Drosophila melanogaster: one gene and its partner. The gene in region 1 interacts genetically with each later gene. Each region holds a gene or a part of one and is shown on either strand. Other genes may lie near its edges. The genes, in order: p115 and Myt1.

Evidence for each region.
Region 2: of p115 (region 1) and Myt1, changing one suppresses a phenotype caused by changing the other (phenotypic suppression), as found in Drosophila melanogaster (one study listed by BioGRID).

The regions. Positions count from the first base shown.
Region 1 is NC_004354.4:7,889,264-7,899,343, reverse strand, and holds p115 (p115), read right to left. Parts: upstream 5,314-10,080; 5' UTR 5,218-5,313; coding exon 2,707-5,217; 3' UTR 2,353-2,706; downstream 1-2,352. Other genes in the region: CG45089 (uncharacterized protein), read left to right, coding at 5,858-6,022; ND-MNLL (NADH dehydrogenase (ubiquinone) MNLL subunit), read left to right, coding at 6,044-6,214; Nek2, read left to right, coding at 7,845-10,052. UniProt on the Drosophila melanogaster protein: Essential for maintaining the architecture of the Golgi stacks and for normal organization of the transitional endoplasmic reticulum (tER). Required for both the formation of the Golgi stacks and the maintenance of the individual cisternae.
Region 2 is NT_037436.4:5,774,149-5,783,517, reverse strand, and holds Myt1 (Myt1), read left to right. Parts: upstream 1-3,926; 5' UTR 3,927-3,976; coding exon 3,977-4,931; intron 4,932-4,993; coding exon 4,994-5,139; intron 5,140-5,195; coding exon 5,196-5,560; intron 5,561-5,618; coding exon 5,619-5,754; 3' UTR 5,755-6,042; downstream 6,043-9,369. Other genes in the region: Cralbp (cellular retinaldehyde binding protein), read left to right, coding at 1-37; PGRP-LD (peptidoglycan recognition protein LD), read right to left, coding at 275-601, 669-847, 1,210-1,687; Pmi, read right to left, coding at 1,937-1,967, 2,521-2,681, 2,744-2,928, 2,986-3,134, 3,385-3,407; vito (viriato), read left to right, coding at 6,253-6,314, 6,374-7,106; scny (scrawny), read right to left, coding at 7,946-8,329. UniProt on the Drosophila melanogaster protein: Acts as a negative regulator of entry into mitosis (G2 to M transition) by phosphorylation of Cdk1 specifically when Cdk1 is complexed to cyclins. Mediates phosphorylation of Cdk1 predominantly on 'Thr-14'. Also involved in Golgi fragmentation.

The DNA of each region.
Region 1 (10,080 bases):
CCAAAACAATAATGGTCCCATGTGTAGATTTCTATGTTCCGTATGGAAACCCTTTTAAGCATCTGTAATAAGCCAAGCAACCTGGGTATCTTCTGTCATGAGGTTGCTTGTCTTCTTCTGTCATTAGCCAAGCAACCTGGATCAGTCTTGTGATAATATATCTAGAGAACATACCTTAAATATGAAATCGTCTGTGTATTCTTATGTGCATATTCGTGGTGAGTTCTTCCATTCTGAGCAATACAAAGCGAATATTTCCAGTTGCTAAAAGCTAATAATTAACTATATGTGATTGGAGTACGCTCCAAAGTTGAGCATCCAATTGGTATAATAAATTTCCTTAAGTATTTGCAAACACATCCATCCATGGACTCCTCTCAAGAAACTACTTAAAAAAACAATCATCTTTTCCAACAGGCCGTTTGCGTCTCCTGAAGAAGATACACTCGTGCTTCCATCCACGCTGCAATAAAGTGCGCAAGTGCAAGACTGTGCGTAAATACACCGTGGAAGCCAACGTATCCGCGCTGACTTTGGTCGTTCTCAAGAAGAATCCCTCCCCATGTCGCCTGGGACCCGTGCGTTCCAGCAACATCAGCAAGATCTACTATTTGTGCGAGGAAGATGATGAGGTTATCCCTGTTAAGCTGCAGCGCAGGCACCAGAAGAAGCGCCAGAATGCAACCAAGGAGGCTATCGCCGAATACGTCAAACTGTTGGTCAAGCGCAAGAAGGAGTCCAAGGCCAACCGCGGCCGTTATGTCACCATTCGCAAGCCGAAAAGCTCTGTCTTCAGCGGCAAGAAGTAAATACCGCAGACTCTGAACCCACATTCTTCGTTTAAGCAGAAACTGAATGTTGATCACAATAACCATTTTTGTTAAATAAACGCGATAAATGGTATAGAATGTGGTGTGTTGTGTTCAATTATATTGATCGATTGAGCGAGTGTAAGCTTTAGGATATATATACTAAAGTATCGGGTGTAAATGTTTTCATATTGCATGTGATTTTGGTTATGAGCTAGCCAGCGGCATTTTTTGGTAAGGAAACCATGGAAAACAAACAAACAGTATCTTGGAATTCCAACATAAGCCATTATATGGGCAAATCGGAATCGGAAAGAGATGGAAACAGGAAATCGTGAGCGGATATATGTAGCTATCTATTGCGATTTGCTGCAGTCCCCGCTAAAGCAATAATGGTCCCATGTGTAGATTTCTATGTTCCGTATGGAAACCCTTTTAAGCATCTGTAATAAGCTAAGCAACCTGGGTATCTTCTGTCATGAGGTTGCTTGTCTTCTTCTGTCATTAGCCAAGCAACCTGGATCAGTCTTGTGATAATATATCTAGAGAACATACCTTAAATATGAAATCGTCTGTGTATTCTTATGTGCATATTCGTGGTGAGTTCTTCCATTCTGAGCAATACAAAGCGAATATTTCCAGTTGCTAAAAGCTAATAATTAACTATATGTGATTGGAGTACGCTCCAAAGTTGAGCATCCAATTGGTATAATAAATTTCCTTAAGTATTTGCAAACACATCCATCCATGGACTCCTCTCAAGAAACTACTTAAAAAAACAATCATCTTTTCCAACAGGCCGTTTGCGTCTCCTGAAGAAGATACACTCGTGCTTCCATCCACGCTGCAATAAAGTGCGCAAGTGCAAGACTGTGCGTAAATACACCGTGGAAGCCAACGTATCCGCGCTGACTTTGGTCGTTCTCAAGAAGAATCCCTCCCCATGTCGCCTGGGACCCGTGCGTTCCAGCAACATCAGCAAGATCTACTATTTGTGCGAGGAAGATGATGAGGTCATCCCTGTTAAGCTGCAGCGCAGGCACCAGAAGAAGCGCCAGAATGCAACCAAGGAGGCTATCGCCGAATACGTCAAACTGTTGGTCAAGCGCAAGAAGGAGTCCAAGGCCAACCGCGGCCGTTATGTCACCATTCGCAAGCCGAAAAGCTCTGTCTTCAGCGGCAAGAAGTAAATACCGCAGACTCTGAACCCACATTCTTCGTTTAAGCAGAAACTGAATGTTGATCACAATAACCATTTTTGTTAAATAAACGCGATAAATGGTATAGAATGTGGTGTGTTGTGTTCAATTATGTATATTGAGCGATTGAGCTAATTAAGCTTTAGGATATCTATTCTAATGTATCGGGTGCCAGCGGAAACGCTGAAAAATATTTTTGATTTTTAATTAATTATTTCAATCTATTTTTCCCCCAGGTAAATGCAACAGTTCCGACAAATAGTTCAATTAAAGTAAGGCCATTTATTATTTTCTGAGAAAGGAAGGTCGAAAAACTGTTTAAATGGTTTTTTTTTTACAACATTACGATTTACCCAATCATAGGTATATTAATATTGTTAAACAAATAAACGCAGAACAAACACTATCTTCGAATTCCAACATAAGCCATTATATGGGCAAATCGGAATCGGAAAGAGATGGAAACAGGAAATCGTGAGCCGATATATGTAGCTATCTCTTGCGATTTGCTGCAGTTCCCGCCAAAACAATAATGGATTCGTTTAAATTCTGATCTAGACATATATTCTATACGTAAGTTAAATAAATGTAAAACAAGTAGAATGTGTGTATATAAGATATTTTAACGTTTTTAGGGCAGTCGAGCAATTTCCAGTTGTAACATGTACGTGGCTAGCAACTCATCCGCGTTACGATTTCTACCTGCTGGCGGTGCCACTTGGGATGGGGCTTCCTCCGCCAGCTGCCGGCACGCTTGGAGCTACATTGGAAGTCGGAAGGGTATTAGTCGAGCCCGCTTCTTCGTATCGCGTTAGCTTTGCCTCCTGATCGGCCAGCAGTTCGAGCAAATCTTCTTGATCCTTTTGCATCGCCGCCAGGGAATCTTGCGCCGCATCTGCACTCTGTTTTTCGGCTGATAACTGCTGACGTAGTGTCTCCAGCTCCTTAGTTAGACGAATGTTTTCGGCAAAGTACATGTTGGCCTGGTAGCGAGCGGCATTTAGCTCCTCCTCGTTGGGCGGCGTGGCTTCCGCACCTTGGGCGGACTGCACCTGACCGGTCGAGGCTCCCAGCTGTGCCTTAAGCAGCGTGTTCTGGTCCAAGAGCTGCGCCTTGAGCGACTGCTCCTCACCAAGTTTCTCCTTCAGCTCGGCATTCTCCTGTTCCAGTTCTTTGGAGGATTGCTGCAGTGCTTGGATCTGGGCATCCATGCCGCGGATAATCCCCTTGTACTGGGAAACCAATGCAGAAGCTTCCGAGCTCAACGTGAGTTCGGTCAGTTCAATGCCATCTACATCAAATCCGCTAACCAGCTTGGCAATCAACGCCTCCAGTCCCTTGTACAGCTTGCAATACTCGAAGTCAAGCAGTAGTTCCCCAGCGGATTTGGCACGGATCTGGGCCTGCTTGCATGCCCGACTGTAGGCCTCATGTCGCGACACTTCTGCTAGTTTGCTACAGAAGCTCTCCTGGCCAATTCGCTTGATGATCAGCTGACTGATGTCCTCGCGCTTCTGCCCCGGCAGCGAGTTGTCATTGAACTGGATGCACAGGCCCATTAGGAATGCGCACATGCCCTGGACAAGGAACTCTCGTTCATCGTGCTCGTTGGAGCAAAGTTGAGCGGTCAGGTAGGCCATGGTGCCCTGCGTTTCCAGCAAAGCCTTCACCGCACCTGGACAATGCGCCAGCCACAGGCTGAGTAGCATTAGCAGACCCACCTTGCTTTGCAAACGGTAGCGTTCCTGCTGCATGAGATTAGTGCACTGCTCGAGTAGCGTGATAGGCTTTTGGCCACCAGGAGTGGCCAGCAGTACGCGCAGTAGTTCCTCCTTTAGGGCGACATTCTCTACGAGTGAGTGCATTAGGGCCACAGCGGAGAACCAGTTGGCAAGCGCATCTGTGGAGAAGAGTCCGGTGCAAAGGAGTTGTCCCGTCGAAAGGGCACTCACATCGGACGCACTGGAGGGCAGCAGGGTCTGTACAACCGCCCGCTGGCCATCGGCATTGCGATAAAGAAAGCACTCGAAACAGTAGAGTACGGCGCAACGCAGTGCCAGCAGTTGTTTCTCATTGATCATGGACATAAGAAGGACCACGATGGCAGGTCTGGGTGGACTGCTCGGAGCCATAACTCTTCCCAATTCATCCTGGTTGTCCCGATCGCCGCGCACCACTTCGGCCACTGCATTGATGGTTTCCGTGAGTATATCCGCAGGGACACCACTGCTCATCAGAATCTCGCAAAGAGCATGGAGCAGTCGAGACTTTTGCATGACCCGCTGGCAGGCGGCCACCACCTGCTGTTGATTACTGGGCGTGACCAGTGCCCGCACCACCTGCAGCAGACAATGGAAGTTTGAGACCTTCTGTGGCGACCAGCCAACCTCTTCCGCATCCTGTGAGAGCTCAAACATTGGCGACAATCGCTGGATATAGCTGCCCTCCTTAAAGAACTGCTGATTACTGGAGTTGTTCTTGAGAAGATTCAATAGCAGAATTAGGCAATCCTCCACAACAATTCCGCCATCCGAACAGCCCTCCTCACGGACAATTTCAAAAAGGCGGTCAAAGGCATTCTCAAAGGCCACAATCTTTTGGATGTTTGAGTTGCCCTTGGTCAGTTCGATAAGCAGCAGAAGGACATCGTTGCGAATCACTTCGCGGCTGTCCGTCAGCAGATCCATCAGCTTGGAAACGCCCATCGGACTGACCAGAATCAAATCCTGCAGCTCCCGCGTCTTGTTCGAAATGAGGGACGTAATCAGTTGGATGGCAGCGCGACGCACTCGAAAATCGTATTCGTCCAGATAGCCCATTACCAGGGTTACATGCTCCGGTGTCTTGATGAACATCTCCGTGAACTGCTCGCCCACATTCACCGAAACGGTGGGATTATCAGCCTCCTCGTCGAACTCCTCGCTAGTAACCACGTTGCACAGTGTGTCCAGCGCATAGCTGATGATCTCTGCATCCTGTCCGTCGTTCTGGAGCACCTGGACCAGCGGAGGCATGCCCTGTGCGCCCACCTCGATGCGGTACTTGCGGGACAGGGCTTTTAGCGCTCGGCAGGCATCCCGTCGATCCTCCAGGAGCGTTGAGGAGTAGACACGGTCCACCAGCTTCTCCACCGTCTCGGCGGCACTCGGCTGCTGACCCGGCTCCGTGCTGCCCAGCACCGTTTTGATGCCACTCTTCAGGAACTCCATGCGAGTGTGTGTTTACGGTCTATTCTGGGTTTTTTCGCATTCAACAAGACACGTCAATTCATGAAAACAATTGACGGGCGGCTTAGCGATGGCTAAAGTCCGATAGACGCCCACTTATCGATAAGCGGCTTGTCTTTAAATATATTAAATATATTTTTAGAATTACAATTTACCATATTTGACCATGTTTGTGTAATTACCTATATTTACACTTTTTTGATAATCTAAAACTTTTTTTTGAATTACATAAAATATTGCTACTTTCTAGCTGACGTCGGGACTTAAGCTGAGTGGCATCCCTGTCGGCGATAGTCTTACTGCCAAAATTTTATTAAACTAAAAACGACTCGACAGCCCTGGTGCTATCGATGCTATAAGTAAGTTGAAAACAAAACTAATTTAGCAAATTTGTGTTTAAAACTAAACGAGAGAATCCCAAAAAATACAATATAAAGCGTTCCACACACGCGGCGTAAGAAGTTCTCAAAAATATCAACACAGTTATCACGACGCTGGGAGAAATCACTCGTTTTTATTACGTAATGCGGCAAAATGTCAACCCATAACATAACAATCCCCACATCAATTTGTGTAAATCATATGTAAATCTCGCCATCTCCTGTGCTTGTCTTGCAGACCTATGGGCAGTGGGATTGTGGTTCAATTGGCTCGAAAGTACGGCGCAGTGATATTCTTTCCCACTGTTGCAGTCGGATCGATTTACGCAGATTGGTCGCACACCCGCCAGTGGAAACGCCAGCAGCTCCAGTTGGCACACCGAGCCCAGCTGAAGGATCAGCGCTAAGAGGATACACAAATATACACCATGGTCTTGGGACTGGATAAGCGAGCACTGTGGGGCGCGTTGCCCCTGCTGGGATTTGCCATTGGCCACTTCCTGGACAAGAAGGAAACGGAACGTATGACCATGTTCCGGGACAAGAGTGCCCTATACGGCCGTCCCGCCGGCAGCGAGGGTAAGGCGCCATCCTGGTAGGCCTGCCCAACATCGCCATCCCAAAATATTATTTTTTTTCCCCCAATTCACTGTTATTCAATAAACCGGAGAAATGTGAAATACGCCTGTCGTCTAGTTTACCTGCATGGCCAGCGGACGAGATTTGCGGTCGGGAACGTGATTTATTTGTGAAGGATTGCGTACCATTGTTTGTTTTACTCAGGAAAAACATAAAAACCTCAACACACGTCTAACGATAAGCCGAAAACCAATGAAAAATCCAAGGAGATAACTCGTTTTTCGAAGGATTTTACCTGGGCATCGCTGCACGATATGCGAGTTCTGCTTAGTTCGGATCAGGGGCGTAGGCTGGATATTTTAGAAGAGCATTGGTGTATTCTACCAAAACTCTTATTATTTATTGTAGAACTTCTTGAGCATGTCACATAAATCACTTGAAATGTGGTAACCGAGAGTAGTCTTTTTAAATGAGTTTCGTTAAATGGCATTGAATTATCTAATACATGTGAATCGAGATTTTTAAGAATTAATAGAAAAAAAAAACTTTTATAAGCATGAGCCCCCTAAAAACTTTCATTTGCACGACCATGCCTATATGTACTATGTAACTGCTTCCAGTAAAAACCGTTAGACAGAATGGATAATCGCTCACTTCAAATATGAAATATGAAATCCGATAAGGACATTTCCACTTTAACAAACAAGGCAGCAAATTGAAATGCCAATGGAACAAAACTAATTTATTTTTATGGCTCAGGGCTAGGGGTTTGTACTCGGTTTTGGATTCCGGTTTAAGATCGGTTTTGGGCTCGAGTTCCAAAATTGAGCGTGATGAATCGCTGGAATTGTGTTCTTGGGCGTGCTGCCCCTCTCTAGACCATTGTTTCCAATGGTCAGTAGTTTGTACACAGGCGCAGTGGGATCAAATGGAACGGATTTTCCAGATTTTCGCCTTTCAAGGGCTTTCTCTCTCTCACAGCGGGGGAGAGCGTGAGCGAGAGGGTGAGATGCCAGAGATTTGCAAGTGGATACCGTTGAACTGTGGTTGGGAGCGAGAGGGTAATAGCACGATCTTTGTTCCTGGAAGGAAACGAGAGATCCAGACGTGCAACAATAACATAACAGTGCTGGTGTCTCTCGGCGGGAAAATAGCCAAATTGGGCATTAGCATGCAGGTGCGAAAGGGTTTTATGGAGAGGTTATTTATATGAAGGTCAGGTTGAAATGACTGCTATCAATTTTAATCGGTAGTTGTCTTGTATATTGGTTTTTAAATAGTTTTGTATTTTAATCCATATTACAATTTCTTAATTTAATGATGAAATAGCTATTTGTTTATGTATGTAATTATATCATTAGATTGCATATTTGCAAAATGTATTTTGTAAAAATTACAAATCTAGCTTGTTTTTAGAATATTCATTCTTCCGCCCTATTTAGCGGGGTAGCGGCACTACTTAAACCTCTCTCTCGCGCACTTGTTGTTGCTCTCTCTCCCGTTCTTGCAGGTAGCAATGAGAATTCCAGAAATCCTGCATCCCAAAAACCAGTCTCAAATCGTGTTTGGGTTTTGTAGCAAGCGGATCATTTGTAATCGGCGGCGGAATACCCAAAATACCCAAAGAGTAAAAAAAAGACTTAAGGCAAAATGAGCGGAGAGGAATCTGCCGGCATGGACTTTTCGCAAAAGACCCTGCAGGATTACGAGGTTTTGGCCGTGATGGGGAATGGATCCTTCGGCACCTGCTACAAGGTGCGCGACAAAAGCACCGGTGAATTGTTCGCCTGGAAGGGAATGAACTACGATGAACTGGACGAGGCCAAGTGCGACGCTTTGGTTTCGGAAATCAGTGTTCTGCGGCAGCTCCAGCATCCTAACATTGTGCAATACTACCATCATCTGGTGAACCGAGAGGCCAAGTCGGTGTACATTGTTATGGAGTGCTGTGCCGGCGGCGATCTCGCCCAGATTGTCCAGCGAGCGAGATCCCAGAGGCAGCGGTTTGAGGAGCCCTACATCTGGCGGGTGCTCTTCCAACTTTGCCGGGCGCTTCAGGTGTGCCACAACAAAATCCCCAACGGAACCATCTTGCATCGCGATATCAAGCCAGCAAATATTTTCCTGGATGCGGCCGGGAATGCCAAACTGGGAGATTTCGGTCTGGCCAGAATGCTGCGACGAGATCAGAGCTTTGCCGCCTCCTTTGTGGGCACTCCGCACTACATGAGTCCGGAGTTGGTGAAGGGCAGGAAATACGATCGGAAGAGCGATGTCTGGGCCGTTGGTTGTTTGGTATACGAGATGTGTGCCCTAAGACCGCCGTTTCGCGGCAGAGCCTTTGACCAGTTGTCCGAGAAGATCGCCCAGGGTGAGTTCAGTCGGATTCCGGCAATCTATAGTACTGATCTGCAGGAGATCATCGCCTTCATGCTGGCAGTGGATCATGAACAGCGTCCTGGCATCGAGGTTATCATTCGGCATCCTCTGGTGGTGCGTAATATTAGCGAGTTGGATGGCAAGTTCCCAATTCTAGTTGATTCTGGAGAGGATTTCTACACACTGCCTTCGGGTGCCAGGCTTTTCGAGGACGAAGAGGAAGATGGAGTTCATCCAGAGCTATCGAGCACCATGTTTACGGAACAGTACAGCTTCAATGAAGGCTATGGGCAAAGGAGACTCAGCGTTACTGGTGTGTTTACTCCAGATTTGCGAAGTGAACTCTTCTACTCCGCCAAGCGCAAAATCTTTCCTGCCAAGAAACTACAGCTGTCGGATCCCTCTCTTTATGAAAGTATAAGGAGAGAGGAGCGAGCGGAGGAGAGGCAGGTGGAACTGGCGGAAGAGCGGCGCCGTAAAAAGGATCAGGAGCAGCAGAAAAGGGATCAGGAGCTTCTAAAGGAGGCCCCTAGCAGTCCTCGTGCTCTTACCCAAAACATATTCGATGAAGTACTAAAGACCCGTCTCCACGCCATTCGTGCCCAAGAATCCCTGTTGCAGCAGAAGCTCGAAGAGCTGCAGACCCGGGAGCAGGAGTTACAGCTGGCCGAACAGCGCGTGCAAACGCTGGAGCGGCAGATGCAGGAAAAACTTCTTCAGCAGGAGAAACACACTTGTAGTTGCAGACAGCCGATAGCTCCGCCCATTCCTCCTAGGAAGCCAGCGAAATCGCACCATGATGACACCTACTGCACTATCGAACTCAACGAGACGTCGCCCACGGTGGCTAAACTCAATTTAGCCACACTTCCGGCACCAAAATCGCTAAATACTCTGCGTAAGGTTACCTTCAAGTCGCCCCAAAAGTTTGTTACCTATGGTATCGAGAATATGCCCCCACCGGCGGTTAAACCGGCAGTGAATCCTCCGCCCACTGGCGTTCCCATGCAAATGAGCGTATCCAGCAATGATTCCGGTGACAGCCAGGCCTCCTCCACCCGCAGGAAATCTATACTCTCGCTTTTCGGGTTGAGTCGCGGATCCAAGGCGACATCCAAATCCTTGCCATCGGTCAACCAGGTAGCCCAAGCAGCTGCAACTCGCGTGCAGCGACCTCCTTTGGCCGTCAAGCCACCGATCACGCAGGAACAGCCGGCAGAAGTTCCACCAGTGGCCAATCTCTGGACAAAGGAGCAGAAGAAACAAGCCTTCGAGCTGCTGGCGGCCATGAATGCAGCCGAGAGGGAGGCAAGCGGAGGTGGAGTCGTTGGTTCTGGACCCGGAGGAGCACGTCGCCAGCATCTGCGGCAATCGGTGAGGGAACGGAATTCCACGCTGCAGCGGAACCGCATGCGGAGGTCTTTGGTGGTGGCCACTGGCCATCAGAAGCTAACAACGCGCGACCAGATGGTGATCTGATCAAATTGATCAGGAAAGATGTGCAGTC
Region 2 (9,369 bases), on another chromosome or scaffold:
CATCGAGGGTAGCTTTCGGAAACTGGAGTTCGACTAACCGATCGCCAGTTGTAGTTTAAGTTTATAGTCCTTAGTCTTAGGCAACATCCAATCAATTAACCCAATGCGCAACGCTTCGCCGGTCCCCCGATCCTGGCCAGCGCCCGATCCTGGGGATCCCTGATTCGCTTATCGGTGGCAACCGCTTTACTCATCCTGCGCTTCTTTGTATACTGTGTTTGTGTTTGGCGTACAATAAACGAGAGGAATAATTTGGAATCATCTCTTTGTTGCTTCACTTGGACGTTTGGTGGCTCGCGTAGTGCGGCCAGTGCCTCAGTTCCCGCTGCAGTGCGTCCGTATAGCTGCCCAACACGAAGAGTTGGTAAATTGGCTGCAGAATCCGACGCTTTAAAGACTCAAGGATCAGAGCCTGGGCGGCCATCAACTGGCAATCGATGGGTGGTCTGCCGCTGAAGTTACCCACAAAGGCCATCACCAACGAGTCTATTCCATTTAGATCCCTTGGATACTGGCTCCGATAGTGCCATCCTTGTGCCTCGAAAACCTGACAATCACCGGCGACCAGAAAGTTGTAGGGCAGCTCCCCCACATGCGACCTCTAAGGAGATGAATGAATTTAGCTTTGATTACAATGTACTACACATACTTATGTCCGATTAACTCACTTCCAGCTTATGCAATACATCCGGGCAATCATCGTGGCATTCATTGCTTCCAGTGTGGGTAAAAATCACTGTGCCGACACCGATCGGATCGAAAAGAGTTCCCCGACCCTGAAGTTCCATATCCGACCATATGCCATGACCCACGATACTGAGTCGATAGCCAAAGTCCGGCGTTTGGGCTGCAAGCAGTGCAAAGTGATTCAGTCATTAAGTGGCTTTGTCCACCTATAAAGGCGAATTTAGAAAAATTTAACAATGAGTCATATGCATGCATACGAAAAATAAAACGAATCTTAAGTTAAACAAAAAAAAAAAATGAGGGATGGCTTTAAAATGTTTTACTATACAAATTTAATGCCAGATACATTATATTATGAGTATAGATCGATTTTTCTTTGAATACTTTCGCCTGCCCATCAAAACGCACATGAGCAGCTTATCATAACTCACAGCTAATTGAGATTTATTTATTATGCATATATGTAACAATAACGATTTGAGCACGTACTCGTGCACGTCCACCATCAGCGGGCAAACTCACTTTGTCTCCAGAGCAAATAGGCGGCCAGTGCCAAGGCGGATGCACACATGACCAGCAGTCCCACCGAGCGCCAATTGAAGCAGTCTTCGTGGAGCGTCGGGTTCCTTCGGCAATTCGAAGGCGTCGTGGAGGAGGCTGAGACTGAGGCTGTGAGGGATGAGGACGTCTTGATGGACCGCTGAGCAGCTGCCAGCAAGGGAGTGGATTCGCTTGCAACGCCTTCCTTGTCCACTCGAATGTGTATATCTTGGCTGGAACCCAGGCTGCCGTACGACGACTGAGAGACGGCGGCCGGCGAGGGACTACGACGTGCTATCGTAGCGAAATATAGAGCAAACAACAAATTATGGAGTTTAGCCAAGATAAAGGCGACCAGATGATTAGTCAAGTGGCACAGTTTGTCCAGGCCACTCTGATCTTGGTGGGCATAGTATTTGCTGATGGCACGCAGACTGTAGGCGCTCACAAAGATCGGCATCTTGCCACTAACTGAGCTGGGATATCCAGCCGAGATGCACGCATTCGTATATCTCACCCATTTAACTATATCTTATCAAGACAAGGGCTTATCTATCGTCGGACTTACCCACTCGCACGGCTATGTGGCTGGAGTCCATGGCTAGACCGCTCTGGCTGCAGCCTCGGCATCAAGGTGGTGCTGTGAGTGGGTCAGCTCCTTACCGGATCGCACTGGAACACACCACTCGATCGATCGGAGTCGCCGCTGTCAACCACTGCCAGCAGAATGCACAAAACGACTGAGACGAGAACAAGGGAGAGAACCAGCCCGCATGAAGCACAACATTTCCATTAAATCATCAGCTACGAATTTCGAAGGGGTCTCTTATCGCACTCACTCTTAGACTCTCTTAGCTATGGAGTAACTTTAAAGCCGGGAGTAACATTCGCATCGCGTTTACTTGACTTTCGTTTGCTGATATCTTCAACTAGACTCTAATAACAATCATAAATGGGTTTCGCTTTATACACAGAGGTTGGCTTTGCTTAATTTACAGTGCAGAGGCTGCTCCTCCCTTAAGACTAACTTGGGCTTGGGGACCGTAATAAGTTATGAGCATGCTAGCCAGTGCAAGTGGCAGCCACGGGAACACTGGACATGGACACTGGTTTATGGGAACATTTAAAAGTTTCACGAAAGACAATACATTGTGTTAAAATCGTTCGAAAATCTAAAAGAAATGCATTCGCCTATGTGCCTAAACTTAACTTATTAGGTATTACGCGTCCGCGAGACAGGGGACAGGCCTAATCCAGCACCTGGACATTTCAGAGCTCCTGCAAATCCCTTACTTGTAGGACCTCCAAATCTGCCAGGCGCACAGGGCAGCCGAGAGCAAGGATACGCTACGGTGCAAGTATTTGGTTTTTGAGTTGGGCGAGTAGCCCAAAATCACAGGCGAGGAGACATCTGTCAGTGGCAGTTTCTCCAACACGGTGTCATTATTTTCCACCTGAAAAACACAACCAAAGTGAGCTTCTCAATCTTGGATATCTAGAACTTTTCCTTTCATACCTGATATTGACAACATGGATCGTAGTTCCAGGAAACCGTGTACAGTCCTGTGCAAAAAATCGAGAGTGCACAAGCGGGAGCTGCAATGATGGGGCGATCCCGCCACAGCAAGCTGGCCACCAGGGAAACCACTCCAGTGGCCACCGCCGTCTTGTGCAGGCAATTGCCCACCCAAATCCAACGACCTGTGGAGATATGAAATTAATACTGTGCTTTAAAAGGAAGCACTTCCAAGTGCTTACCAGTTTCGTCGCCCAGCCGAGGCGGCTCTATAACGATGAAGTCCAACTTGGCTTCCAGCGCCTTGTCCAGCTCAGCCTCGAATCTTTCATGGGCATTGGAGCTGTCGTAGACCTCGCGGATGACATGGAAAGTGGGCACCTTACTCGTGCTGCACAATTAGAACAACAATACACGAATCAATCATGGTTATCTTGATGTGGAACTCAAGGTTAAGGTCAAGATCAAGCGCTCAGAACAACCGAAGCAGAGAAGCCATTGTGCAGACGAGATAAATGAAGAAGCCGCCTAGTAAATTGCATAACCAGGGCAGGTGCACTTGGGAACTGGGATTTGGCTGCACCCAGGTGGAATGTGTTGCGTAATCCCACTGCATTCACGTAACTAGGCGCCGTATTTACCTTTCTATATTTCTGCTAACCATTTTGCTAATAAATTTGTTGTTTTCTATGTTGTTCATAAACTCAGTGCGGCCGCAGCTGGACCGTTAAAATATACCAGGTACCTAAGGGCATAATACTGCAAATAGCAATCTTCCAAAAAAATACCGCAGTTGGGCGGCACTTTTGAATTATATCGTATTCGCAAATACCATTCTCCTTTAAAGAGCGGCCTATATATAAAGGCTTAATTCCACTATTTAGCAATTTATTTGCTTATTTACCTATATTCATAAAGACAATTAGATTAGATTAAAGTTTTTAAAAATATTTCAGTATTTCTATTGTTCTTCCAACTACTCAACTCTCCCATCTCTATTTACGATAATTGAGGCATTTAAGAGGCAAATCATGTAAAATCTGTATACGATTATAGGAGCTTAACTTAATTGAAATCAATAATTATACTCCCAATAAAGATCAAAAATATAAGATACATGTGTTAAATGAATTAGCCGGCTCTTATTGTCCCAAGCGAAGAAGCCAGGATTTCGCCGGCTGTCCGATATGGTCACACTCGCCCACTCATAAGAAAAGACACCCAAAATTGAAAATGGAAAAGCATCATCGCCTGCCCCTCCCGGAATTGCACGACGACAAACACAGACACAAACAGTGCAATGGGGAGAACAGCAATCGCTTCCGGCCGCCCAAGTACAAGACGCGTGGCTACGTCGCCGTGGACAACAACAATCTGAACCGAAGCCAATCGCTGGGCTCCTGTAGCACCAACAGTTCCCAGATCGCGCACGCGATCTCCTTCCGGGACGCCGGATGTTCGGATTCCAGTACGCTGCCCTCGTCACCAGTCCAGGCCGAGCTGAGCACCCTCTCCCTGTCACACTTCGAGCAGTGCTTCGAAAGGCTGGCCAAACTGGGCGAAGGATCCTTCGGCGAGGTATTCCAGGTGCGCGATCGCTCCGACGGCCAGTTATATGCCGTCAAGATCTCCAAGCAACTGTTCCGCGGCGAACAGTACCGCGCAGAGCGGCTGGAAGAGGTGCGGCGCTACGAGGAGTTCTCCGGCCATGAGAACTGCATCCGGTTCATCCGCGCCTGGGAGCAGTACGACCGACTGTACATGCAAATGGAGCTGTGCCGCGAAAGTCTGGAGCAGTACTTGCTGCGCTGCCAAAGGATACCGGAGGAGCGCATCTGGCACATCCTGCTGGATCTGCTGCGGGGTCTCAAGTCGCTGCACGACCGGAATCTCATCCATCTGGACATTAAACTGGACAACGTTCTGATCGGCGAGGACGACGAGACGTGCAAGCTGGCAGACTTTGGACTGGTCATCGATGTGGACAGGGCCAACAGCCATCACGCCACGGAGGGAGATTCGAGGTATATGGCTCCAGAGATCCTGCAGGGTCACTTCTCCAAGGCTGCGGACATCTTCAGTCTGGGCATTGCCATGCTAGAGCTGGCATGCTACATGGATCTTCCTTCCAACGGCCCACTGTGGCACGAACTGAGGCACGGCATTCTGCCCGAGGAGTTCATAAACAGTGAGTTGCGAACTAGCTGCCTACTTAAATGGCAGGTTGCTAAAGCCTTTCTCTTCGCACAGAAATATCACTGGAGCTGCAGTCGGTAATTAAGTCCATGATGAAGCCCGATCCTGCGCAGAGGCCGACGGCCGAGCAGCTACTCTCACATCCCAAGCTGCAGTACCTGCAAAAGAAGCGCAAGTCGCTGATGAACTTCAGCATGCTGGTAAGCATTCCCAAGCACATCTTTGAGAATCAATCTTAACCCTTGACAACTTGCAGTCGCGTAGTTTTAGGCGATCTCGCCGCGCCGTTTGGGGAAGAATGTGCAATTGGAAAACAGCCGCCTTTCGTTACCTTCTATACTTCCTGGAGGTCCTGCATCTATGCAAGCCCATAACGGCCTCACAGCCCAATATTAACATAGTGCCCTCCTCGCCTTCGTCAAAGGGAGTGCCTCTGGTGCCTCAGGTGGAGTTCCAGCTGGTAGGATCCACACCCATTGCCAATCGTGACTGCTATGCCTCCGACTTCCTTTCCGGCGAGGACCCGCTGGACCTCTCCAATCAGGGTAGCCCCAACGTAATAAATTCCACGCCATTGAACACAAACCAAGGCAAATCCCGTCTGGATTTGCTAAAGAATAAGTAAGTACCCTTAATCGATTAGCTCATGGACTAGCGCACATAACCCATCCGCTTTCAGTGTTGATTCAATGGGCAGGTACGTTCATGTACACGATTTCGAGAGTCCGTGTTCCGCCCTATCTTCCGCCAAGGTCCTGGACACCTCATCGTTCCGACGCAAAAAGCTCTTCGTCCTGGAATATGACGACGAGTGAGTGAGTACGGTGCCAGCGAGCAACGTAAACCGAATGAATTTATGATAAACCCAATATATATCAGTTACGAAACGAATACCAGATACATATGGCAACAGAATATATCGTTAATTGTATTTTGATTAGTTCTAGACCGTAGTGTTGTACGAAGTTCCCTAGATATAGTCTTACGATTGTGTAATGTTAATGCTTCTTTAGAAGAACTTGTTGAACTTGAACATATAATCATGTGATATATATACGAAAAGCGATTTGAAAAGTTTAAAAATAAAAAACTTATTGAAATTGAAACCTGCACTGAATGCCATCTATGACATATGATAACAACAAATTAAAGGTAAAAACCAAGAAACGTATAACTATAAAAATTTTTTTTAAAACATTTTTGAATTCTAACGTACCTTTCGTTTCGGGGAAAAGTATTTTGCCCATCTGGTAACACTGGCCGCTCGCACATGTTGAAAACGTAAACAAAAACGAGTAGCACAATTTTTGAAAATGACCAGGAAAAAGGCTCCTAAGAAAAAAACAGAGGTTGTATTCGACAACAAGAAACGCATGTAAGTAAGGAGACACAGAATCCCCGGAGGATACTAATGCCCACATCCCAATCCCGCAGAGAGTTTCTCAGTGGCTTCCGGAAAAGAAAGAATGAGCGACGATCGCGTGCAAAGGCGGATCTGGAAAGAAACCTTAAGAACGAGCGCAAGCGCATACGGCAGGAGGTAAAGGATGGCTTTAACCACCTGAAGAAATCCTTCGAACCGCTGCGCGAGCTCACCGAGGAGGACAAGGCCGAGGAGGCGGAGCAGCAGCAGGAGGAGACCTACGAAGATGATGAAGTGCAGGTGAAGATCGTGGAGCTGACCACCAACGATCTGGCCGCCAAGCGCAATATGTTGGGTGCCAACACGGCAGAGGAAAGCGAACCGGAGGAGCAGGCTGACCAGAGCGAGGAGGACGAAGCCGACCAGGCCAATAGGATACCCGGCATGGATTTCGATCCCAACGCCCGCAAACGTAAACCCAAGCCGGAGGACGAAGAGGAGCCGAAGGCCACAAAGTCCAACAACTCCACGCTGCCGGACATCAAGAGCAAAAAGGATCTCGACCGCCTGATGAAGACCAAAACGCTGAAGAAAATGCACCAGAGCAAACTGTTCAAGCAGAAGGAGCGCCTGGACAAGAAGAACAACCAGAAGAAGGCCAAGCGGGACCGCAACAACACCATCAAGAGCGTTCCCAAGCATCAGCGCAAGCAGCTCAAGTACGGAAAGGCCAACCAGACCAAATACCGAAAGGGTCGGATGGTCAACAAAAAGGAGCTGCGGCGCAAACGGAATGCCGACTAAATTTAGCTTTTAGCATAGTTTGTTTTACGGTTTATTTACTATTACTCTAGTTAATCAAATAAACTGTATAATTCCTGGCTTGTACAATAATTTTGCTAACACGCCGATGCGTTCGATCTTTTTTTTTACCGCTCTCCGTCGTATTCATCATGGTACATATTACATCCAACATACTTTATTTTTTTTGGGTTATTAACATTGGCAATATCGCTGCTCGCCGCCGTTCGGTTATGCTCTATAAATAAAAGGGGGGCGCCGCTAAAATTATAATAAAATTTTCATGGGTCCTAAATCTAGTCTCGAAATCTATGTACAAAGTTTGCTTGCATGCTGGTTAGGCATAGGTTCTTAACGTATTATTGGGTTGCTTTATTTCCATTCTGCGCAGTTGTGCAGCCTGTTTAGTGTTTGCCTTTACGGGGTTAACATTTTTTAAAAATGAAACATTAGAGCGGTAACCTTGTTGTCTGATTATTGGCGTCATTAAAGCGGTATCGCCAGCACGCGATTGATGCAAGGATACCGATTCAATGAAATAAAAACGAATTCAGCCAAACACAATCTTTCATTTCTTTTTTTTTATCGTACTTAATGATAGCCTTAGTTTCTAATGGGACTGTGTGCTTCGGTGAAGGTTGGGGATGATTTTGGGAGGCAACAATTATGTTCTAGCTTATAGCTTACAGTCCTACGCCTACTCCTATTTCTAATATGTTCATCATCAGCAGTTAAAAAACGTTTACAAAACTCATGCGAAATTGAAATCCAATAACAAATGCACACGCCGCAGTCGCATCGGCGTCATCTCTTTCTCCTGACCCTCGCCTATCCGCATCCAGTTAGGTTTGCTGCTGCTGCTGCGCCGACGGTTGTCGCCGACTGAAGCCACCGCCGGCGGACAGATGTCGTTGCAGGGCTCGCTGCTGCTGGAACTTGGCGCTGCCTGGTCCTCCGAAGCGGTTGAACTTGAACTTGTTGCGCTGCTGGAAGTTCTGGCGATAGTTCTGATTGTAGAATCGCGGAAATCCTCCACCTCCGCCGTTCTTGTTCCAGCGCTTCTGGCCCTCGTACTCCTGGAATGGATTGTACCCGGGCGTGCTGTTGCTGGCATTGTTTCCCTTAGCCGAACCGGACTTCACCTTCCGCTGACGTCCACGATCCATCTCGTTCTCTTCGTCGTCGTCGATGTCCCGCTGCCGCTGCTCACGCGCATCCACCAGTAGCTACGGAAAACAGAATATCAAGCATTAGGCTAGAGTTCGGACCTTGTGAATGGGGAGGCTTGGCTGGCTGGCTGACGCATGCGCTAGTTAATGGAGCTTATGCAGATGAGTACGGTCGCTCGCGAACAAGCACTGGGAATATGCACATTGTATTCGAAATGGGTGAGTGGCTTACGGTTCACGGTTCACTGTAACAGGTTATCAGGCAAAACGGTAACGGCACAACGGTTGAATTTATGGCGTATCAGGCGGTTGAAATGAAAGAAACAACGTGCCGGCCAGCAGTCAAATCATAAGCTTCATTGCACGGGAAAACGGATGCGGAGTCATCGGGTGAATTACCTAGGCTCCGGTGCAGTCACTCTCTCCCGCAATGACTTTTGCAACTCTCTCTACACTTTTCACGCTCGCTGAACGGAGGACGCGTTGTGGTGACCGCCCGGTTGGGAACGGATACCAGCAACGCAGCCATCACAGACTATTCGGGGTAATCGTATTATTTGTATTTGTTTTGTGTGGTATGTGCTTAGTGGGGAAAAAGAAGAAGCGTCGCCTCTGCCGCCGACGCTTCTACCTCCTACCGGCCGTCCGTGAGACGATCCGGATCGGGTGCGTCAGCGGTCGTGTCTGTTACCGCCACTGCAATTACGACCACATCTTTACTGTCACTGCCACTAGTCACTGCCGCGTCGACTGCAACCGAGCCCTCGACGATATCGCTGCCTTCCACACTGCCGTGACCAGCTATCCGTTTCGCACAAACCAACTCAAAAGTCTAAATGAATGGGGATAATGTGGAAACAAATGCAAATTACAAACAAGTTCGTTTAGTAAATCAACTCAATCGAATTGCATTTTATGCAACAGCTAAGCGAACGACATAGAAAACAAAAAAGAAGACCAAAGAGCCAGTTAAATAATAAAGAATTAGTTAAACCCGCAAAAAGAGAACCAATTTATGTACATTTTCATCGTATTAAGCCCGCAACTTGTTATTTTTGAAGCACAGACCCAAAGAAAGTGTTAACCATGCATAGATT